Linked DNA regions of Caenorhabditis elegans. The protein of the gene in region 1 interacts with the protein of each later gene in a pairwise test. Each region holds a gene or a part of one and is shown on either strand. Other genes may lie near its edges.

Evidence for each region. The genes of interacting proteins can lie anywhere in the genome.
Region 2: the proteins of egl-19 (region 1) and shn-1 interact in a two-hybrid assay, tested with the Caenorhabditis elegans proteins (one study listed by BioGRID).

Annotation. Positions count from the first base shown.
Region 1 is NC_003282.8:7,403,186-7,409,189, reverse strand, and holds the start of egl-19 (Voltage-dependent L-type calcium channel subunit alpha), read right to left. Parts: upstream 3,609-6,004; coding exon 3,602-3,608; intron 3,266-3,601; exon of another isoform or gene 3,116-3,265; intron 3,060-3,115; coding exon 2,968-3,059; intron 1,997-2,967; exon of another isoform or gene 1,976-1,996; intron 1,786-1,975; exon of another isoform or gene 1,652-1,785; intron 1,502-1,651; exon of another isoform or gene 1,361-1,501; intron 1,208-1,360; coding exon 1,044-1,207; intron 990-1,043; coding exon 884-989; intron 361-883; coding exon 221-360; intron 168-220; coding exon 1-167.
Region 2 is NC_003280.10:11,384,209-11,392,764, forward strand, and holds shn-1 (Protein shank), read right to left. Parts: upstream 6,657-8,556; 5' UTR 6,577-6,656; coding exon 6,517-6,576; intron 6,410-6,516; coding exon 6,140-6,409; intron 5,881-6,139; coding exon 5,779-5,880; intron 5,709-5,778; coding exon 5,120-5,708; intron 5,074-5,119; coding exon 4,732-5,073; intron 4,675-4,731; coding exon 4,402-4,674; intron 4,145-4,401; coding exon 4,055-4,144; intron 3,895-4,054; coding exon 3,572-3,894; intron 3,530-3,571; exon of another isoform or gene 3,509-3,529; intron 3,335-3,508; coding exon 2,493-3,334; intron 2,009-2,492; coding exon 1,861-2,008; intron 1,724-1,860; coding exon 1,570-1,723; intron 947-1,569; coding exon 717-946; 3' UTR 354-716; downstream 1-353. Other genes in the region: C33B4.5 (uncharacterized protein), read left to right, coding at 1-255. UniProt on the Caenorhabditis elegans protein: Scaffold protein that most likely acts in the postsynaptic density (PSD) of excitatory synapses which orchestrates synapse formation and maintenance at neuromuscular junctions.

The DNA of each region.
Region 1 (6,004 bases):
AGGCAATGTGGAGCAAAGGAATCATGGCTCGAAGGATGGCGTTGAGCACAACTTGTAAACTTGGTACTCCTGATACAAGACGAAGCGGTCGAAGTACACGAAATGCTCTCAAAGCTTTTACATCGAATCCTTGAATTGACATTTTTGATAATATGGTACTCACAAGTCTGAAATTTTTGTTCTAATTGTTTTTGAAACTTCAAACCAAAAAACGACTCACCCTATGACAACAATAATAAAATCGAGAATATTCCATGCGTTTCGAAGATATGCACTGGGATGAAACATAAACCCCATAGCCACTATTTTGAGCACACATTCTATCGTGAATACGACAATGAACACGTATTCAATTGTTTCCTGTAATTTGAAGTAACATTTATAATTGTTTCCATAAAACAGTATTAATGAAGTTTTATTGCTAGATTCATCTTTTGTATGTTTTTTTTTAATTTTGTGGGAAACCTGAGATTATTAATTTTAAATTTCTATACTTTTTTTTAAATTTTGAGAATCAATTTTTTAGAATTAAAATGGCTTGCAATTTTATTTTAATTTTCAATAATAAATTTTTTTGGCTCGACTCCTTGGTATTTTAAGTTTTAAAACTGTTTCTCAAATTTTACTGAAATCAAAAACATAAATGCAGGGTATAAAAATTATTAACAATTTTGAAATTTCGATTTTTTGTCTTTTTAACATTATATTTTTATTTTTGATTTGCATTTTGTTATTTTTGGAAAAAATGTATCTTATAAGTAACTTTTCAATTTTTTGAACAAAAAAATTAAATAAATTTTTTCTGAATAATGTTCATTATTTTATCACCCTTTCGGGTTATTTGGCAACATTCACCATATTTTCAATTTTGAAAAAAACTCACAAGTAATGTATTTTTATAGTCTGAATCTTGAGCAGGATAGGGTTGATAGATGGCTAGAGCGATACAGTTGGCACATATCATAAACAATATTAAAAACTCGAATGGTCTGAAAATGGTTTTGATTTTAGTAAAATTGAATTTAGAAAAACAATAAACTTACTTCCATTCAACAATACTGATGCACAATTTTCGGATGGGATTATTCAAGGAGAGGCAAAGAAGTGATCGTTCGGATCTTTCGACGACGTTCGTTTGTCGAAGAGGTTTCCGTTGTGCGGGTCGTTTCTTTGTGGCATCTTGTGATGATGAAGCTGCCACGGCGGCCTGAAATTTATTTTTTGCTCATTCAAATAAACTTCTCTAGATTTCACGCTTGATTAATAACTTGTTGTTGATACTCGGTATTTTTAAATTTTGGTGTATTTTTTTCAACTGGGTTCCCTCATCATTTTATTGTCTTTCCATTTCTTGTTTTTATGTGGATAATTGGAAAAAGATGTGAAATCGGTCAATGGTCGGTTTCAAATTTCAGTTTCTTCTCCTTCTCTCAAGAAGTCGCGCGACTGAGCTGGCATAGAGGAAAGAGCTTCTTTCCTTTTTCGCAAAACCCATGAATACGATCATTTGTCAATTTGCATAAGATCTTTCTCTTTTTCTCACTCATTCTACCAATAGGCTCCATCATAATACACAAAAAGATCCCGCCTTCTTCTTTTTTATTGTTTTGTTAGCATCTCTCGGCTTTTTTTTCTTTCATACTTACTTTGGTGGATGGATTCAAAAAGTGGATCCCTTTGGATCTTATTGAGAGAGAAAAAGAGAAAAAGGGGAAAGAAAAGTGGAGAAAAAGAACAAAAAGAGCAAGAGAAGGCACCATTCAACTTGATAATCATATCCACATTGTGCATGAAATGTCTTTTTTTCTTTTTATGTTGAAGAATGCAAAGTCACTCGTTCAAAGAAAACTAGAAATTGAAAATATCAGAAATTGGATGGCATGTTTTCCGAAAAAAAGTGATTTATTATCAACTTCTCAAATTTTATCTCTGTTTCAGAAAATCAATAGATAAAAACAAGCATGTTTCGAAATGTTTCATATGAAAATTGGTTGACTAAAATAAAATTTCAAGCCAATGGAACCAGAAAAATCTTCGCATTTTCAGTTCTCATAGTACAGTAAGCTAATTGATTTTTAAAATTCATCTGTGATCTTTGTCTATTCTCAGATTCCAAAAATGCACAGGGAGGTGTCACATATCTTTTGCATGACTAACAAGGGTCAATTTTAAAGATCTGTGTCACTCGGCACTCCCTCATTTTGTACCAAACAGATATTTTGACTTCACAACAAGATCACCATTTTCCACCCTCAATTTATTTTCTGCAAGTATCTGCGTCTCTCGAGAGCTCCCGCATATTACACTAGAGATGATACACACAGACACGTACTGCGGATTTGCCTGTGTTCAATCAGAAGAGTTCCTGGATCATAGAGAGAGTACGAGACAATAAGAGAGTCTCTTAACAACATTTTGTGTTTCTAACACTTCCAAAAGAATATGTCACTTACATTAAATCGCATCCAAAGTAAAGGACCTAACCCGTCAAAATATCCATAAATATCGGCATAAAGCTCACGGGCATGGTAACGTATAGTGGGCATCTGACTATAAATGATACCATAAATGTGGTCCCTAGCCATTTTATACCATTAAAAGCTACCGGATATTAAAAGTGGTAACATTGTGCTGCTGGGATTGATGGGGTCGCTGACCCTCAGGATCTACCAATTTGGATGCGATTTATGGGATTTAATAACGGAAGTCCAGTGTCTTGATATGAGCATAAAGAAGCTTTTTAGGTCAAATGAAAAATGCTTGTTGACTTTCAAGGATGACATACTAGGCCCTACAGCAGGTATATTTTCAATAATTTTTGAAATCTGTTGGATCTATCCAACAGATGAAGATTCTTCTTGCTTCGTAAGAATTATCAGTTTCCACTCTTTTTGCACACTTTTTTCCCAGAGATTTCCAAAGTATTTCTTTACAATTTTTCAAGTGTTTGCAAAATAAAATACTAACCTGTAATGTCTGCTGCCACAGATCGGTTCTCTCCTGCTCATCAGCTGCCGCCTGCTCCTCGTCCTCCCCCGATGACATCATACTCGCTAACACTGAAATAATTAATAATAACTTATCATTCTCTACATATCTTCACTGTCTTTCTCCACTCCGTTCACTTTTTCTCTTCGATTTTTGTTGGTTGCGCGAAAACTCGAAAACAAAAGCAAAGAGAGTGCAGATGTGGAGTACCACGACCACTTGAGCCGAACCACCACCCATCACAAATCTGCCCCCGGAAATCAGAAATGAAATCAGAAATACAAAAAAATAAACTTTTTTATTCAATTGGAAATTTACTAGTTATAACTATAGTTACGGCAAGCTTTGAATAAGATCTGGATGAGCGCTGATCTTCGACTTGATTTATTTTTTTTAGATTATGAAATTCTAGAAAATCCGTATTATATTGCACATCCGAAGCTAGAATTAAAAAAAAAAAATATTTTAGATATGACTTTAATAAGAACACCAATAAAAAATCGTTTAGTACGGTAGACTTCGGCAGTTTGATTGTCTTCAGAATTTCTTGTGGGTCGTGTACTTTGTAATTGTTGTGCAGATAATTTTATAAAATGAATTAAAAAATTCTTACCTGACATGATGGACACAGGTTAACGCTCGTCATGCGAGCCTTTCACGATCGAGCAGTGTCGGCGCACTCCTCCTTTTCCACACTATATCTCTCTTCCTTCTTCGTGCACCACAGTGCGTTCTCGTTCTTCTGGAATCGAAATTTGAGATCAGAAAATGTGGAGAAAAATAAGAAGAATAAGAAAAAAACCGAGAGGAGCGACGACTTTAAAGCTCTTTTATTCGCCAGTTTTGCAGTTTAGTTTTGCATCCACCCTCACAAGAAGGTGGGGATGAGAAAAAAAAAAGGGAAAGAGCAATGTCCTTTTGGGAAAAAAAGAGGAAACTGGGGAAGGAGAAGGAGGAGGACAGGGAAGGACTGACGATCAAAGTTTCGTTTTTTAAAAACGAAAGTTGGGAATAAGAAAGACTTCTGACCGAAAAGTGACGGAGATTGAAAAGAGCATGAAAATGGGTTGAGAGGCATAACAACATGTAACAGAAAGGAAACAAAAACTAGTTATTTCCAGAAAAAATGAAAGAAAATAATGGAATTGGAATCCAGGGAGGAGGAGAAGCAGCAAGCACGGAGAAAAATTGTTCAGGATCAATTGTAGAGAATATCGAAAAGTTAAACGTTTTGACTTTAAGATACTGTAAAAAATTTATTAAACTTTTTTCAACAACTAAAAAATTCAAATCGATGATTTTTTGGAGATTTAAGAAAAAATTTACGGGCTTTTCTCGATTTTCAAGGCAAAGTATTTAATTCGTTGGATAATTTCAATTTTTAAATTTTAAAAAGAGTTTCCTAGCAACATATCAATAAACTACAAAGTTAGTTGCCCAGTTTTTGATAGAAAAAACTATAGCTGAGATATGTCAAAGTTGAACAATGAGGGGAATACTAATAAAACGGTATGTATATTTTTTTAATTATTCTTTGTCTGGAAAATAGCGTTAACTGTTACAATTTAACAAGAAATGTGGCAAATACAGTAAGCTGCACCATTGTTGTCAAAAACGGTAGCCAGTTCATAATTCTGAAGTCAATATTCCAAAAAAAAGGAAAAATTAGATGAGTGTTTGTGCAAATCATTATTATCGAGAAGATTTTGAGTTGATTTCTGAATAAAAAAAATGTGAGAAACACCAGACAGCTTTAGCACAAAGACAGTAGATCAAAAGTTGATTGAAATATGGCTTCTTCACCTTCTTATCTTATTCTCAATCCTACCAAAACAGAACGGGTGAAAAAAGGAAAAAGAAGAATAAGAAGAAAGAAAAAAACAAATGAAAACGTTTGAATTTCGGTGTGTGGTTTTTCGGGTGTATGTGTATGTGGGTGCTAAACCCTCTATTTTTCACAGCTCTCCTCTCGTTTTTCTTTTTTTCCCGTTGCCACAAAACGTTATCTGGACAGCGGCGGGCCGTTCATCACCTCTTCGCCAAACCGCCAATATTTACGCGCAGAATTGCAGTTTTTTGACGACGACGTCCTTCTACACCATAACCACACCCATTTCACATTTCCAAATATGCACAAAAACTCGAGTTTTTTCTTTCTTTCTCTCATCTCTATTTCTTTTTGTCACCAAAAAATTGAGAAATTTTGAACAAAAAAGACGGAGCAAATATGATGGGTTGGAGATTAGAGGTTCGTGATGAAGGGAATACTGGGCGGAGATGTTCTTTCTTTTTTTGGAAAACTATAGGTTCTAGATAAATTGGACCATCAAAGTTTGGAAAAAAGGAATCGGACAACAAATGCCAACTGTTTCTTTTTTAATTCCAACTTTTCTTCAAAAATGTTGAAGAAGGACAAAAAAAGAAGAATTCGAGAGGAAAACGAAGAAAGAAAAGGGAAAAGAAAAGAAAATTCGGAAAAGCTGGGGACCAGCAGCAGCGACCCAGCAGTGAGGGAGAGAATTTTAAAACAGGACGGCAGAGCGGAGAGCACCACGATAATTCTATTCTTTCACTCTTTCTCCTCTTATTCTCACGTCTTCATATTAATTTAATGATTAAAAAGTGGGAGAATGTCTAGAGTCATCCGACTACCATCTCAATTCAAATTGTCAAAGAATATTTGAATTGAGAATTCAAATAGCTTAAAGTGGTTCAAAGATGGAAATGTTAAAAGATTAGAAACCAAGTGAAATTTAGTTTGGTTTTTGGAAGCAATTGTGATAGTAGAGATGATCAGAAAATTGTATTTTATAGATCAGACTTATGAATTTATTGATTAAAATATTATTGGCAATTCGGTAAAATAGGCTAATTTTTAAAATATTTTTTCTCCATTAAAGATTAAAGAAATTATCTAAAATGAGAATAAATACGAAAAATTAATTTTTTAAATAAAGATTCAAAGTATAGCGAGTATTTACAAATTTGAAGAGGGAATTTACTTTCTTGGAAACAA
Region 2 (8,556 bases), on another chromosome or scaffold:
AAAGCTCACTTTCCCTACAATCGAGTTGTCAATTGGAGACGTCAAAATCAGTTTTCATCGGAGGAGTCACGTGTTGAGACAACTACAACAACTCCAAAACCATCAGTCCCAGCGGTAACTCCAAAAAGTTGGGCAAAAACAACGACAGCATCGGCTTCTGGTTATTCTGCCGAGCCGGCTCTATTTCTTCCATCAAGATTTCATCGGAAAAAGGAGGACGTCGTGATTGTTTTTAGGAAAAAACAGAAATCATAAGAGAATTTCGTGTTATTTATTGTTATCTTTTAATTTTAATTTATTTTGTTCCATCTCTCACTCTGTCTGATCAAATACAAATTTGTTTTCTTTTCTTCAATTTGTAGTAAAGAAATTTATCAATGAATCACCGATTTGTTCATGAATCTTGTTTGAAAAATTAAATTTCTTTCAATGCAAATGCAAAAATTGGGGAGCAATTCTACGAAAAGGCATAGAATCAGTGAGGAATAAAATATATATTAAAATATAAAAACTATATATTTTTTGTATTACCCTAGGACACCGAAAAATGGAAGAAAATTAATGAAAAATGATGATGAGCAGGATAAAGACACGATGGTCAATTAGAATTGGGTTTCACTATCAAAAACAAATGAAACAATATTATATACAAATATATAAAGCCAGCTACGCGGGAGAAAATCGAGAAAGTAGAAATGAGGGGGGAAAATCATAAATCACTGGAGGAGGCCACGGAGAGCTGATTCAATTATCTGGCGATGAGCAATTCGGGTGACACCGAGCTGTGTAAATCGAGACCGATCGCACTGGCGAAGGCATCGGCCATTGATTCGTTGACTTCGAAATGCTGGTGTATATTCAGAGAGGTGTAGTGATGAGAGCCAACCGATGACGTCATCCACCGACCAGACATCTACCTTCTTGTGTTCGAATGATATTTCACTACCTGCAAAGAGAGGAAATTTGGTAATTTGTTGAAACTTAAAGGAATGAGCCCCAAAATCTAACAGATAATGATTTGAATTAACAATTTTTTCTTTTACAAAATATCCAAAAAAGAAGTTTCCTTCAAACATATTTCAAACTAGAAATGTTAACAGATAAACTGAAGCAAACAATTCAAAAATGAAGAGTTACACTGAAACAGAACAAACGAAATTAAGTAAATTAAAAAACCAAATCAAATTGTTTTTTTAATATTTAGAAAACTAAATATTTTGACAAAAATACTATTATAGTATAAATATTTTTACAAGTTTACAAGTATTTTTACAAGAATACAAGCGTAAACAAATAAACTAGATAATTCTCAAAACTGCTCTAAACATTTATAATGATTTGAATTGAGAATTTGCTAAAAAAAATGTATCCCGAGAACACAACCAGAGCATTCCAAAAACCCCATGTTAACCAAAACTAGACCCCAGACAGATTTCATTCTCCCCTTTCCTCTTAGATTCATAAATTAATCTCCAAAATTTGTGAGAACATAAATTAAGTGAGTGTGCAAAAAGAGTAAAACTAATGGTGATGTCAAATGAAAAACAAGTTGGAAGAAGAATCTCTTACAGCGAATCTCTCCATCGCTATCGCCTGTTCCAGAATCCGGATCATCATCATAATCGACAGGTGGAATGACATGAGATGGTACCACGAAGCATCCAGGTTTCGTTAGATCAACTGTTGATGATGATGACGCAGTTGACGACGAGGCAACAGACATCTGAATTGCAGGTTTTAGGTTAGAAATTGGGCACAAACCACACATGAACAAATTAAACATTCTTTCACACCATCTTTTTTTTGGGGTTAAGAAAAATGTTATATTGAGAAATCAGTGCAGGGAAAAATGGGTCTTACATTGTCCTTCTGTCCGTAATTATCCTCGAGATGCTGAGAGATCAGTGTCACTCTTTGAACATTTGGAGAGTGATCAAGTGAGAAATGGGGTCGATGATCTTTTTCTTCCGATTCAGATGGTTCCAGTGACGTTCGAGAAGATGTGTACCTGAAAAGAGAGGATTTATTTAAGTTGTATGTAAGCTTCAAGATTGAAGATGTTGAGCTACGGAAGTTCGAGAAAGCAGTTAGCAGTTACCGTGTTTTCTCTATTAATATTGTACTTCGATTGTTCAACTTTACCAGCTTATATCTCAGTTTTCGGTTGTTCTACACAAAAATTGTCAACTGACTAAATATTTTCTGATACTTTTTCTATAGTTTCATAGTTGAACATTTAATGATATCTTCTAAATGAACTGAGATATAACTGTTCAAAGTGAAATAGTGGGAATATGGTTAAAGGTACTATGAAAGTAGGCAAGAGACACGAATAGACGCCAAAAGTCTCAGAATGTTTTGAACTACATTCTGACAGACTTTTTTAAATGTTCCAAAAATTAGCAGTTAGAAATAGCCAATTAGCAAAAATCGGACACAACCAATAATTATGCAACCAACGAGCATTTTTCAAATGAAATAAACTCACTTACCCACTGTCCTTCTTATTAACTATTCCAATGTTCTGAATTCCTTTTCCACGTTCTACAACATTTTCCCGAACAGTTTCTCGAAGTGATAATCCTTCGAATCGACTTTCTCTCTCCTCATCCTCATCGACATCGTGAGCTACTTTACTCCGCCTCTTTGCCAACGCATTCTTCAAATCCATTTGAAAATCTGTCGTGGAGTTGTTGTTATTATTGTTATTATTACTGACAGAAGCCGCCGATGTTTCTCGTGGTTCTGCTTTTTTTAATTGAACTGATTTCAAGGCATCTGCTGATATTCCTTTTGAATTGCTCATCAAAACCGGAGCACTCGCAGCCACATGCATCAAACCTCCCGGAGGAGGTGGTGGAGGTGGTGGCGGAGCTCCAGATGAGATTGGAGGCAATGGAGGAGGTGGAGGAGGTACTGAAGATGTTGATGGAGGTGTGAACTCAACATGTACCATCGTTGGCTCGCAGTGTGGCGGAGGAGGTGGTGGAGGCGGTGGTGGAATCGATGACTGCTGCTGCTGAATTGGTTGAGGTGTTGAAGCTGATCTTGGAAGAGATGGATGTTGTTGTTGATATTGGTGGTTCTGATGATTCTGATGTTGCATCGGTGGAGGAGGTGGTGGAGTTTTCGGCCTTGACGTTGGTCGGAACGGCCTAGAATATTCACTCCGCTGCATTGAAGAATCTCTCTGCAAATCCGGAGAGATATACGACGCCGGTGGTGGAGCTGGCATCTCATCTTCATCGTCAAATGAATCAAATGAGTCCATTCGAGATAGTTGAGGTGTGCTTCGACTGCTACAGTTGTACTCGAATGTGCTAGTTGTGGGAGCCTGAAAAATTCTACTTTCTCAGTGTGCTCGCTGTTGGGAATTTTGCTCTGAATTGCTCCAAATGACATGATATTTAACAAACAAAAAAGAAAACATTTAAGAAAATCGGGTTAATTTTTTAAATTTTTTTCTGTTTCAAAATGTTTTTTAACTTTGGCATTTTGGCATCTTTAATCTAGTTTCTCCGTAATTTAGAGCAAATAAATATTCCGATTCCCACATTTTTCTAAAACTCACCGCTTGCTCGAAAGTCGACCTATTCAATCCGGCAGATGAAGCCACCACATTCCGTTGACCTTTCCTCCTCTTCATGTCAGAAACCGAATTATACTTCTTTGACGAATAACCCCCATTCAACGACTCCTGATCATATTGCATTTGATATGGTGAACCTTGCACCGACGGTACCCGCTGTCGAACCATCAAATTCTCCAATTCCGCTGCGGATATCCTCCTCCCGCTACCCGGCCTTTGCCTGACTGACGCGTGACGTGATTCCGAGTAGGCGTTCCTGATTTCATTTGGGGCATAGTAATCAACTCCATGCGCATCATGCGTGTCTGAAAATAAAATGACTATGCTACACGAGACCGAGAACAAATCTATAGAACAGATAACACATAATTAGAAAGCTGATCTCTATGTAAATTCTAGATTAACGTGAACAGTGAATTAGAAAGTTAGAAAAATAAAGTAAAAATAAAACAAAAAAATTCGAACCAAATCTCATCCGATAAACACTGGACGCTTTTGTAGACGAGTAGATTGCTGACGGCGTGGGTGTAAAAACCAAAGAGTGACGAGATGATGCTGGAAGTGAATGTGAGTGAATGGTGACGGTGCACGGATTAGAAAACAATTTGTACTTGAACAAAGACTACACAAAACTAAAAGCGTGCGAATATGAACGACGATACGTTGAAATTATCATTGAGATTTGGGATGATAAGTTCAAGCTTACACTTCAAGCCGAGTTTGTGCAATATCAAGATCATCAAGATACTTAACTCCCAATATGAACTTCTTTCAACCCAAATCTCAACAACACTCTATTCAACTTTCTTTACCTGTTGGCGGTCGATGCACAATAGTTCCTCCCCTACTCATATCAGCTACATCGACTGTTATCACTTTCAGTGTAATCGTGTCACCGGCTTGCTGAATGAATTCGACGACTTCATCGTGTGAACACCTTCGCACATCGATTCCATCAATTTCCAGCAAGTAATCTCCTGGCCTTAATCCCGCGCGAACCGCCATTCCGGACATGTCGACACCTTCAAAAAATTGAAGAGCCGGCACTTGAGCAGTTGGCTCGAAGTTCAATGGCATGGCGACATCTGAAACAAGAACTATGAGAAAATTATTGAGCAGTTACATAAGAAAAAGGAATTTACGTTTAGCTCCTCTCAAAATGAAACCGAATCCCTTGACACCACGTGGAATCACCAGAATCCGAGCGATATTTGTCTCGTGTCCAGCTGCAATCATTCCACCACCACGCATCGAATCCATTCCAGACCGTCGCATCGTACCGTACTCTGATGGGGTGATGGTAGTACGGGAGGATCGAGACGGGCTTGGCGATGGAGCTGCAGACATTGGACCTTTTCGTACACTTTGGGGAGTACGGTAGACATCCTGGCTGCATATTGAGGATTGGGACATCGAACGTCGGCGAGTGATGGTTGAGCTGAGGCGTCGGCGAGTTGAGTATTGAGGAGTGCCGCGATATGGTACTGGAATTTAGATTTTTCAGAGAAGTTAAAAAAATGACTCTCTTACCTGAAGATTTAGGATTATGTGCTTGAACGACATCAGCCACACCAGGATTTCCGACAATATGCGAAACATGTAACGCAGTTTGTCCTTGCTTGTTCACAGCTAGATGATCAGCTCCCCGAAACAGCAGTACTCTTGCACATTCTGGCCTATTGTTCACTGCACAGACATGAAGAGGACTATTCCCATTTACATTTTCAGCATCGATCTGACCACCGAAATAGAGTAAGTGTTCCACATGTTTCGTTAACCCATTCTTGCATGCTTGATGAATCTCGTGGTTTCCGTGCATATCGGTCACACCGATGTCGGCGGCTTCTCGTAGAAGAATCTCAGCGACTTGATCATTCGAATCTGCTGTCAACATATTATAGTAGAGCGGTGTAAGTCCAATTGGATCACGATAGTTTGGGCTTGCTCCAAGTTCGATCAAGGTTTTTACATTCTCGAAGGAAGATAGAAATGCGGCTTTGTGCATTGCAGTTTGGCCTTCTGAATTGCGAAAATCCACGTGTGCTCCGCCACCAATAAGGGATACAATTACAGCTCGATTGTTCGGGATTCCAGCAGCCAGCGTTAATGGGGTTTCTCCCTGAAATTTTGTGAAAATTAAAATAATTTCAAGATGCCCGGCAATCCTAGAAACATCCACAAAAACTCACCTGAGCATCATGAAAATTTGCATCAAGTCCCTGCGAACACATCTTTTCCACTTTCTCGTTATTCTTCTGCTGAACGTAGTCCATAAACTTTTTGAGTTGGCCCTGCAAAACGAGAACGATAAGTATCTGAATTGAGAGGTGCGCGCGAACACAAATATTATTAGTTTGTGAAGAAAGGGGGAAAGATATGCATCTGATGGAATATGACGCATAAAACACCTTGTAATTATACAAGGTTTTTGTCAGTTTTCGATCAACATGTTGGATCGGAAGGAATTGAATAATAAGATGGGATTAGAACTAGAACATTTAGAACCTGGGAGGTTTTGGCATTGAAAGTTGAAAGAGAAGTAATCCCTACCTTCGTGTGCATTGCCTTCAGCTGCTTCTCGTCAAGATTGAGCATCTTATAGACTCGTTTCTTATACTTCAACTCGAGATACGGAACACAATCAGTGAACGGATAGTCACGAATGGTCCGATCCTCGAGAAGAAACTTTCCGGCTCGTCCATCGCATGGAGGAAGGAAGAGCCCGTAGTTGAAAGCTTGCGGAAGAGCTTGCGGAAGGGTGGCCAATAACTTGCGTTTCACATCCCAGATGAAATCGTTTTGGGTCACCGCAAGGAACTTCTGAAATTGAGAAATTGTAGAAGGATTATGGAACACCTAGATAAAACATTTTGAAATTCTATGGTAAGTTCTGCAAATAGTCACAATTTTATTTTGCAATTGCTCACCCGAACGTTAAGCTCCGGAACGAAGATCTGCAAATTAACGGTGTCCTCCTCTTGATTCATCGTGAATGCTTCCGCTCGGACGCCTTTGCTTCCGATGATGACACTAGCGCATCAATATGTCTCCGGACTTGTACAACACTGTTAGAATGAAGTTACCACTATTAGCTAATCGAACAGAAAGAAATGCAGAGGAAATAGAGAAATTAGAAAAAAGAAGAGAAGAAAGGCGATAACTTTGATGTATTTACTATTGATGTCAATTGGTGGGACATGGATCACAAAGGGGGACAGGCAACATTTTGCGCATGTAGGAGGTGCTGATCATGGGTAATAAAATTGAACATAAGGTCGGGTTGGTCGGGACAAAAAAAACGATGGAAACTCTGGGTAGAGATAGGTAGGTAAATGGTTTTTTGACAGATAGGTTTTTTTGTAAAATTTCTAGTTCTTGGTTGCCTTGGTTTAAAAGTTCGAGCTAGGGCGATGACGGGCGATTGTGGGCGAAAAGCCAGCAACAGGCTGCCTTCACACATGCCTATGTGCCTGCCTATTTGCCTATATTCCTATACGCCTACGTGTCTGTTTGAAAAACGAAGAAATCGTAGAAGTCACAAAAAGTGTTGCCAAATACAATAGCGTCGAGTTTTAAAATCTGCACTTTATTGAAATTAAAAAGTCTAATAATCAAACCTATAAAGTTTTAGAACATTTTCAAACTCGAATCTATCAATGTTTCCGCATCTAAAATTCAAGATCCACAAGTACTATGCAAACTTGAAAAGATGATGGAATTCTCAAAAGACTTATAGGTTTTGCCATTCGAAAAGAACACTCGTAATGGAATTGAGGAAGCGAACAGAGGAGAGAGAGCGCGACTCTTTTCTCCGTACTGTCGGAATAATGTGAGAGATAGCATTGAAGATGTGGAGACGCAAACTGTCTATAAGAGAGGCGGAAACTGGCTTCACTTCTTGGAAGGATGAGGAGAAGAAGCTTGTGAGGAGAAGAGGAAAACTGACAGAGAGAGAGAGAGAGAGAGAGAGAGAGAGAGAGAGAGAGAGACAAAAAGTAAGAAAACGAACAGTGAATGCACGAAGTAGTAGTATTGAATGAAGACGTAGCTGTGACAAAGAGGTAATTAAGTATGTACTCAAATAGTTTGTATGTTAAAGGAAAAAAATGTAACATTGTCCTCAAAGTGTCTGAAAGTTCAATGTGAATGTTGAAGCGGTGTTTGAAACACATAGGAGAAGGGTACATATTAAAAATATGAAATTGCACCACATTACTTAACTTTAAAAAATTATATCTTGGTGTATTTTAATGATATCAATAAATTATCGAATACAAACGATAGAAAAAAAATTGCAAATATTTCGTTAGTTAACAATTTTTGATTAAAACAAACGGCAACTGAGATATAAGATGCTAAAGTTGAACAAAAAAGTGGAATGAGAAAATATGGTACTCAACTTTGACAGCTTGTAACTCGGTCGTCTCTTAAAATTAAAAAAAAACTTTTTAGTTACGTAAACATGAATTTAACAATTTGTTCGTTAACAAGTCGCGAATTAAATGGAGAAACTAGAACAATTTTCTCTGAATTTCATCTCCAAATGGTTTTAAAGCACCTCGAAAAATGCGATAAAACTACACAAATCTCGTTTCCAATTTCAAGTGATAAACGAGATGATAAGACATATGGAGATTAAGGTAGTCAAAGTAGATGATCCGTACAGCTTATTGCAGGTAGGCTTAAAGGTAGTGAACAAGAATTATCTAGGGAGAGAAAGAGAGACGTCTGGATGAAAGGAAGGTGACTATTGTAAGCTGACTCTTACAATTGAGTCAGAGACATGTTTCCGCCGGAGTTTACGACCTTGGACACAAAGTTCCAGAATCAAGGTAGTAGGGAGGAAACTGGGGGAGGTAGGGATGGGTATTGTAAAAAAATATATTAGTCATTTTGTGGTGTCAAATCAAATATTTACTTTTTGATTCCCCCCTATTCAGAAAAAATCTGACACCTGATAAGAAGGA